Linked DNA regions of Macaca mulatta. The protein of the gene in region 1 purifies or fractionates together with the protein of each later gene. This does not show direct contact. Links are inferred from orthologs where the notes say so. Each region holds a gene or a part of one and is shown on either strand. Other genes may lie near its edges. The genes, in order: PPP1R18 and PPP1CA.

Region 1 (3,656 bases):
CTTTCAAGGTGTCAGCGGCTAATCTTTCCCCTGTGTGTTGTGGGAGTCTCTTGGTTCCTCTAGGCCTTTCTATTCATCTCCCATCTCTTCCCAGGCCCTAGACCCCCTTTGCTATGGATAGGAGAGGAATGAGGGGAGTGGGAGGGAACAGGTGCCCAGGCTCCTGGGTTTCGCATAGGACAGCAAGGGGCTGTGGGTATGAAAACCATGGTTTTGGTTGAGACTGGCTCCCCAGCCAGTTCTTTCCCCACTGGCCAGTCTGCTGGGCTCCTCTGGGAAGTTTACTCTTTCCCCACTGGCCAGTCTGCTGGGCTCCTCTGGGAAGTTTACTCTATTGCCTCCAAGGTGCCCAAAGACTCGGTTCTGATCACAAGACTAATCGCCACGTATTTTAATTTCTTTTTACCCCTCTGCCTCCCACACTCGAAAGAGCAGGGACCTTGGTCTTATGTTATTCACTTCTGCCTCCCAAGCCCCTGCCAACCTACAGGGCAAAGTCTGATGTTTTGAAATTATATGATCGAAGAAGGAAACTCTGGGATTGGAAAGCCAGTGTGTAAAGGAAAACTGGATCCCAGAGTGGATGGGAGAGAGTGAGGGGGGGCGCCTAAGTCCAACCCCCACCCCCACCTTTCCCCCGCCCCACCTGCTCCCTTGCAGACTCCCCCCCCCGCCCCCCCGCTTTCTCCCCCTCAACCCCCACGGGCCTCACCCCTGCTGACCTTGCCTCCTGCCCCCTTTTTCTCCCTCCTTCAGCTTAAGATCTCCTTCAGCGAGACAGCCCTGGAGACCACGTACCAATACCCCTCCGAGAGTTCGGTACTGGAGGAGCTGGGCCCGGAGCCTGAGGTCCCCAGTGCCCCCAACCCCCCAGCAGCCCAACCCGACGACGAAGAGGATGAGGAAGAGCTGCTGCTGCTGCAGCCAGAGCTCCAGGGCGGGCTGCGCACCAAGGCCCTGATTGTGGGTAAGCGGAGGCTCCGCCGGCTCGAGAGCGCCCCCTGCTGTCAGAGCTGGCGCTGCGGTCCAGGAGAGAAGAGGAGGGAGGATTGCATGTAGGCGCTTGGAAGGGGCTTGGTGGTCCTCTGGTCCAACCTGCTCCTTCAATAGATGGGCAAACTGAGGTCCCGGGCAGTGAAGTACACATTGAGTCTTCAAGTTTCAAAACGAGAACTCTTCCTGAGTACCGTAATCTGGTCAAAACCACAGGGTGGGTCGACAGGCCTGAGTTGGAATTGCAGCTTGTCTCTTAATTGTGTGATCTCAGGGAAACCATCCGATATCTGGCTTTAGTTTATTATTTATGAAATGAAGTTAATAATAACTACCTCCTGTGGCTCATGCCTGTAATCCCAGCACTTCGGGAAGCCAAGACGGGTGGATCGCTTGAGCCCAGGAGTTCAAGACCACCCTGGGCAACATGGCAAAATCCTGTCTCTACAAAAAAATACAAAAATTATCCCGGTGTGGGCCAGGCACGGTGGCTCACGCCTGTAATCCCAGCACTTTGAGAGGCCGAGGCGGGCGGATCATGAAGTCAGGAGACTGAGACCATCCTGGCTAACACGGTGAAACTCCATCTCTACTAAAAATAAAAAAAAATTAGCCGGGCGTGGTGGTGGGCACCTGTAGTCCCAGCTACTTGGGAGGCTGAGGCAGGAGAATGGTGTGAACCTGGGAGGCGGAGCTTGCAGTGAGCCGAGATCACCCCACTGCACTCCAGCCTGGACAACAGAGCGAGACTCCATCTCTAAAAAAAATAAATAAATAAAAATAAAAGAATTAGCCAGGCGTGGCAGTGCAAAGCTGTGGTTCCAGCTACTTGGGAGGCTGAGGTGGGAGGATCGTTTGACCTCAGAAGTTGGAGGCTGCAGTGAGCCGATATTGCACCACCCACTGCACTCCAGCCTGGGCAATAGAGGAAGACCCTGTCTCGAAAGAAACAAACAGGCCAGACACGGTGGCTCACGCCTGTAATTCCAGCACTTTGGGAGGCTGAGGCAGGTGGATCACTCAAGGTCAGAAGTTCAAGACCGGCCTGGCCAACATAGTGAAAACCCATCTCTACTAAAAATACAAAAATTAGCTAGGCATGGAGGTGGACACCTGCAATCCCTGCTACTCGGGAGTCTGAGGCAGGAGAATCACTTGAAGCTGGGAAGCAGAGGTTGCAGTGAGCGGAAATGATGCCACTGCACTCCAGCCTGGGCTACAGAGTGAAATTCCGTCTCAAAAAAACAGAAACCAAAAACTACCTCCTAGAGTTGTAGAAAAGATTAAGTAATTTATTTTATTTAATTAATTAATTTATTTATTTATTTTGAGATAGCGTCTCCCTCTGTCGCCCAGACTGGAGTGCAGTGGCACAATCTTGGCTCACTGCAACCTCTGCCTCCCAAGTTCAAGCGATTCTCATGCCTCAGTCTCTCAAGTAGCTGGGATTACAGATGTGTACCATCACACCTGGCTAGTTTTTATATTTTTAGTAGAGACAGGGTTCCCCCATGTTGGCCAGGCTGGTCTTGAACTCCTGACTTCAAGTGATCCTCCCGCCTCAGCCTCCTAAATTGCTCAGATTACAGGGGCTCCAGGCCAAGATTAAGTAGTTTTTGTGAAGCACCAAGAGCCACAGCTGGATATCAAATTACTTAATCTCTCCTGGAGTTATGGTGACATTAAACAGTTATGAGGATGCTTGGCACAAAATCCGAGCTAAATGAGTGATGGATGTGGTTACTGATGGTAACGTGCTTTAGATGTGGAAGATATTATAGGACTTCCTGCATGCCAACTGCCCTTCAATTTGTGTGTGGGGGAAGGGTGGGCAGAAGGCAGAGGCTCTCACTCATTCTCTGTCATTATTGCCCCCTCTCCCACAGATGAGTCCTGCCGGCGGTGACCATCTTCAACATAGGGATATACCTCCTTCCTTCTTATAACTGAAGATCCTGGATCCCGGAAGATTCAGGGCAGCAGACCCTGATAATGAGCCTGGCAGGGAAGGGCAACAACCAACATCTTGTAACTTGCTTTCCCCACCCTGTTTCTGGGGGCAGAGCCAATTGCCCAATTTCTACCCTAATCCAAAGTCCCTGGTGTGGGTGGGGTTAAACGTGCTGGTACATCCTGGGTGATCTAAGAGTGAGCGCCAAGTGCTGAGAAGGAGCACAGAACTCCCTGGAGGGTGGAGATGGAGCACCTGCCCTCCATGGCAGGGTACACTCTCCCCACAGCCTTCCTCCCCACCATCCCGTGGGGACTCTTGGGATTTAAGCACTCATGTCTCTCGAGGCCCAGAGCCCACTCCATTTATAGGCACATCTCCCTCATTTCCTAGGTCACTGCCCCTTTGTTTACAGCTCCTGCCTCCTCCTTGACCACAGCCTGGTTTACAAATTCCACCAGCTCCCAGCCCCACCTGCCAAAGTCCCAGGTTTACAAGCCACGCTTACTTGCTGTGTCTGCGTGGAATTCTTTCCTCTCTCCCCTCCAGTCTTCTCATTGGAGTGACCTGAAGGTGTGGCTTCCTCCACTTTTTCTCAGTATTACTTTGCCTTAGTTTTCCCCAAGAGGGAAGGCTGGAAATCTTAACTCTGTACCTGTTGATACTTATTTAATTCTGTTTCTCCTAGTGGTTCACAATTGAACTGAATTGA
Region 2 (4,289 bases), on another chromosome or scaffold:
GGTAAAAGAGACGCCACGGTCGTTCTCGCCCCAGCCCTGCACGTCCTTGTCAGGGTCAGACCACAGCAGGTCACACAGCAGGCCCTGGTCAGGCACGTCTGTGGGCCGCATGATCCGCCGAATCTGCTCCATGGACTGCAGGTCCGGGGAGAGGCCTGGAGGGCCAGAAGGAAGGTCACTTCCTCAAACAAGGACATCCTTCCTCCAGGAAGCCTTGGCCAGTGAGCCTCACCTTTTCCACCACCCTCCTGGTCCCTCCACTGGTCTCCTGGGTGCCTAGGCAGGCAGAAGCCATCCCCTTCCCCTCAGCTTTTTCAAGTTCCCAAACAGGCACAAAGGCGCCCCTGGCCTCCGGAGCACAGAGCTCCTGGGAGAAAGGAGACAAGCCCGCCCCATGTAGGATGCACATCAAGGAAGTGAGTGCAGCCCAGCACAGGGGGGTATGGGAGACACTTCCTGAAAGGAGTGACTTCCCAGATGACAACTAAGGAGAGCTCACCTCCGTGGCAGCAAAAGATCTTTTCGTCCACTATGGCCGCAATGGGCAGGCAGTTGAAGCAGTCAGTGAACGTTTTCCACAGTTTGATGTTGTAGCGTCTCTTGCCTGCCCAGAGGGAGGTAGCTGTGAGGGGTCTGCCTGCTCCACCCTTAGCCGGGGTCTCTGGGCTATTCAGCCGCAGATGGGAGAGAGTCAGGCACCAATGCAAACCACCCCCACCCCTGCCGCCTGTCAGCCTTCCAGGAGTAATTCTAGTTACTTTTTATTTTAATTTGTAATTTAAACAAACAGGATCTGGGCAGGGCATGGTGGCTCACACCTGTAATCCCAGCACTTTGGGAGGCTGAAGCAGGCAGATCACCTGAGGTCAGAAGTTCAAGACCAGCCTGACCAACATGGAGAAACCCTGTCTCTACTAAAATACAAAAAAATTAGCCAGGCGTGGTGTCGCATGCCTGTAATCCCAGCTACTCGGGAGGCTGAGGCAGGAGAATCGCTTGAACCCGGGAGATGGAGGTTGTAGTGAACTGAGATCACACCACTGCACTCCAGCCTGGGCAACAAGAGCGAAACTCCGTCTCAAAAAAGTAAAGAAACAGGGTCTTGTTCAGTCACCCAGGCTGGAGTGCAGTGGCAAGATCATAGCTCACTGTAACTTGGAGCTTCTGAGTCCAAGTGATCTTCCCGCCTCAGCCTCCCACCAGAAGTAATTCTAAAGCACCCGAGTCCACTGGAAACTGAGTTCCAATCTGGACCAGCCTCAGGGTTGGCACTCCTTGCACGCCCCGGCCCACGAGCCGGGCCAAGTACAGGTCTGGTTTATCTCAGCTTCTGGACAGCAGAGCTCATCTGCAAACATCCTAAATGCTTAGTAGCAAATGTAGAGGGAACGTCACCAGGCAGGGCCCTGGGGGAAAGCACTAGAATACGGACAGTCCTTCAGTCAGCAACCATTCCCCAGACCCCATGCCAGGAGGGGCAGGGCAGGCACAAGAACGGACCTGGGCCCTGCCTTCGTGGAGTGCACAGTCTAGCAAGTGTCTGTCAGATATCAGGCCAATGTGAAGGTCCCACTGAATGACAAGGAGTGTGGTTCAGGACCCGGGCAGCCCCAGACGCTCAGACCACTCACACTCATCGTAGAAACCGTAGATGCGGTTGATGCTGGCGCACTCGTGGTTCCCACGGAGCAGGAAGAAGTTCTCGGGGTACTTGATCTTATAGGCCAGCAGCAGGCAGATGGTCTCCAAGGACTGCTTGCCCCTGTCCACATAGTCCCCCAGAAAGAGGTAGTTGCTCTCCGGAGGGAAACCGCCATACTCAAATAGTCGCAGAAGGTCATAGTACTGGCCGTGTATATCACCTGTGACCCAGGGAATCGGGTAAGCTAGATGCAGGGTCTAGACCTGAACCCAGGACCAGGACTGGGCTCAAGGGAGGAGGACTCCAGGAACTCTGTGGGGGCCAGTGCCACTTTCAGGAAAGCAAGGGGACCTGGGTCGGGGGGCTCACCGCAGATCTTGAGGGGTGCCTCCAGCTCCAGAAGAATGGGCTGGCTCAGGAAAATCTCCCGGGATTTCAGGCACAGGCCGCGGATCTCGTTCTCTGTCAGCTGTACATTCTTGCCAGGCCGCGAGCCCTGCACTGGGGGCGCAATGGGGTGTCAAGACCCGGGACCCTGACAGGTGGAGGGTGGGCGACACGGGTGGCCCCATGGATACCTCCGGGGGCGCCTAGGCCTCCTCGGCCGCTCCTTGCCCGCAGGCAGCTGTTGCTGCTGAGCCTCCCGGGACCTCGGCCTCAAGCCTCCCAAGGGAAGCCCCCAACTACCCTCAGCGCCTCGGGAGGCGACTGTCGTGCGCAGGGGGCTGCCACCCAAACACCTCACAGCGCAGGACCCCTTCCTGGACCGGGCTTCCCGGGTTTCTCCCTCGCCTCAAGAACCCAGGCAACCCGTGCGCCCCCGGCCCGGGAGAGGGGGCTGCTCCGCGCGTCGGAGCGGGCCCAGGACCTCTCAGGCGCGTCCGCGGGGGGGCGGCTGCGGCCACCGAACCTCGCGGCCCGTCCCCGCCCAGTCTAAGCTGGCCCCGGGGGCCCGCCCGCGCGCCACTTCCGGGCCCGGCAGGGGGCCCGGGAGCGGCGGACGCAGGCCTCCCCCGCCGCGACCAACCTTCTAGCAGGCGCCCGATGATCGAGTCAAGGTTGAGCTTCTCGCTATCGGACATGGCGGCGCCGCCGCTCCAGCCCAGCAGCTCCGGGCCCGCTCCTGCCTCCCGCCCTCCGGCAGCCTCCTTCCGGCCTGGCTCTCCTTCCGCCCGCCCCAGTCCGCCCCCGGCCCGCGGCCCCGCCTCCGGGCCTCCCGGGCCCGCCCCGCCCGGTCCCCCGCGCTCTAGCGCCCCCGCTGGACGTGAAGCGCCGCGGCCTGGGGGGCGGGGCCTTGGCGGCGGGGTCTGTCGGGGGCGCGTCCAACTGGTTACGCCCCAGAGGAGGCGCCCAGCCCGGTTCAGAGGATGTGGGGCCGGAAGAACTGTGGAAGTTGTTTTTCTCTTTCAAAAGCAGAACAGCCGTTCCCACCCCTGCCCTGGGTGGAGGGTGTTGTGAATATATTAATAACCGGCTGCTAGGCACTGAGGGTTAACTGCTCGAAGTGCAGGAAAGGAAACTGAGGCTCAAGAGATATGAACAGACTGGTGCAAGACCTGGACCTCGCATTCACGTACGACCCCCTTTTTCGTGGGTCTCCGTGGCCCCCAGGCGGCTGACCACACTCAAAGACAGCTACGGCTGAACTTCCAGCGCACTTTGGTCCTTGGGGCATGATAAATTAATATTTTCTTACAAGTCCCATAATTAGCTTTTATTTATTTATTTTTTTTGAGACAGAGTTTTGCTCTGTCGCCTAAGCTGGAGTGCAGTGGCGCGACTTTGGCTCACTGCAACATTCGCTTCCCAGGTTCAAGGGGTTCTCCTGCCTCAGCCTCTGGAGTAGCTGGGATTGCAGGCGCGCGCCACTGCGCCTGGTTTTTGTGTGTTTAGCAGAGGTGGGGTTTCGCCATATTGGCCCGGCTGGTCTTGAACTCCTAACCTCAAGTGATCCACTGGCCTCGACCTCCCAAAGTCCTGGGGGGGTTACAGGCGTGAGCCAACAAGCCTGGCCCCATAATTAGCTTTTGAGTAGCACAGTAATATTGCAGGGTGTGCACGTAAAAAGAATTACTATATGAGCAGACATGGCTGGGTGCAGTGGCTCACGCCTGTAATTCCAGCGCTTTGGGAGGCTGAGGTGGGAGGATCGTTTGAGGTCAGGAGTTCAAGACCAGCCTGGCCAACATGGTGAAACCCCATCTCTCTAAAAATACAAAAAGTTAGCTGGGCATGATGGCAGCCGCCTGTAATCTCAGCTATTGGGGAGGCTGAGGCAGGAGAATCACTTGAACCTGGGAGGCGGAGGTTGCAGTGGGCCAAGGCCCATTGCACCCCCTAGCCGAGGTGACAGTGTGAGACTCTGTCTCAAAGGAGCAGACGATAAATTAACCTTAATTCTTGTTGGAACCCTGAGTTGGGTGCTTTACATGCCAGTAACCTCAGAACTGGAGGTGGGCCTGCTGTGGCGGCTTAGGCCTGTAATTCCAGCACTTTGGGAGGCTGAGGTGGGATGGTCTCTTGCGTCCAGCCTGGGCAACACGGCGAAACCTCATCTCAACAAAAAAATACAAAAATTAGCTGGGCATGGTGGTGCACGCCTGCAGTCCCAGCTACTAGGGAGGCTGAGGCAGGAGGATCTCTTGAG

Evidence for each region.
Region 2: the proteins of PPP1R18 (region 1) and PPP1CA purify together in Homo sapiens (affinity purification with mass spectrometry; 5 studies listed by BioGRID and IntAct, counting the BioPlex papers as one, with this or other methods). This does not show direct contact. The link is inferred for Macaca mulatta from reciprocal best matches to the Homo sapiens genes PPP1R18 and PPP1CA.

The regions. Positions count from the first base shown.
Region 1 is NC_133409.1:152,366,656-152,370,311, forward strand, and holds the end of PPP1R18 (phostensin), read left to right. Parts: intron 1-756; coding exon 757-967; intron 968-2,879; coding exon 2,880-2,899; downstream 2,900-3,656.
Region 2 is NC_133419.1:6,981,882-6,986,170, reverse strand, and holds the start of PPP1CA (serine/threonine-protein phosphatase PP1-alpha catalytic subunit), read right to left. Parts: upstream 2,801-4,289; 5' UTR 2,725-2,800; coding exon 2,670-2,724; intron 2,144-2,669; coding exon 2,012-2,143; intron 1,863-2,011; coding exon 1,632-1,862; intron 605-1,631; coding exon 500-604; intron 156-499; coding exon 1-155. UniProt on the Homo sapiens protein: Protein phosphatase that associates with over 200 regulatory proteins to form highly specific holoenzymes which dephosphorylate hundreds of biological targets.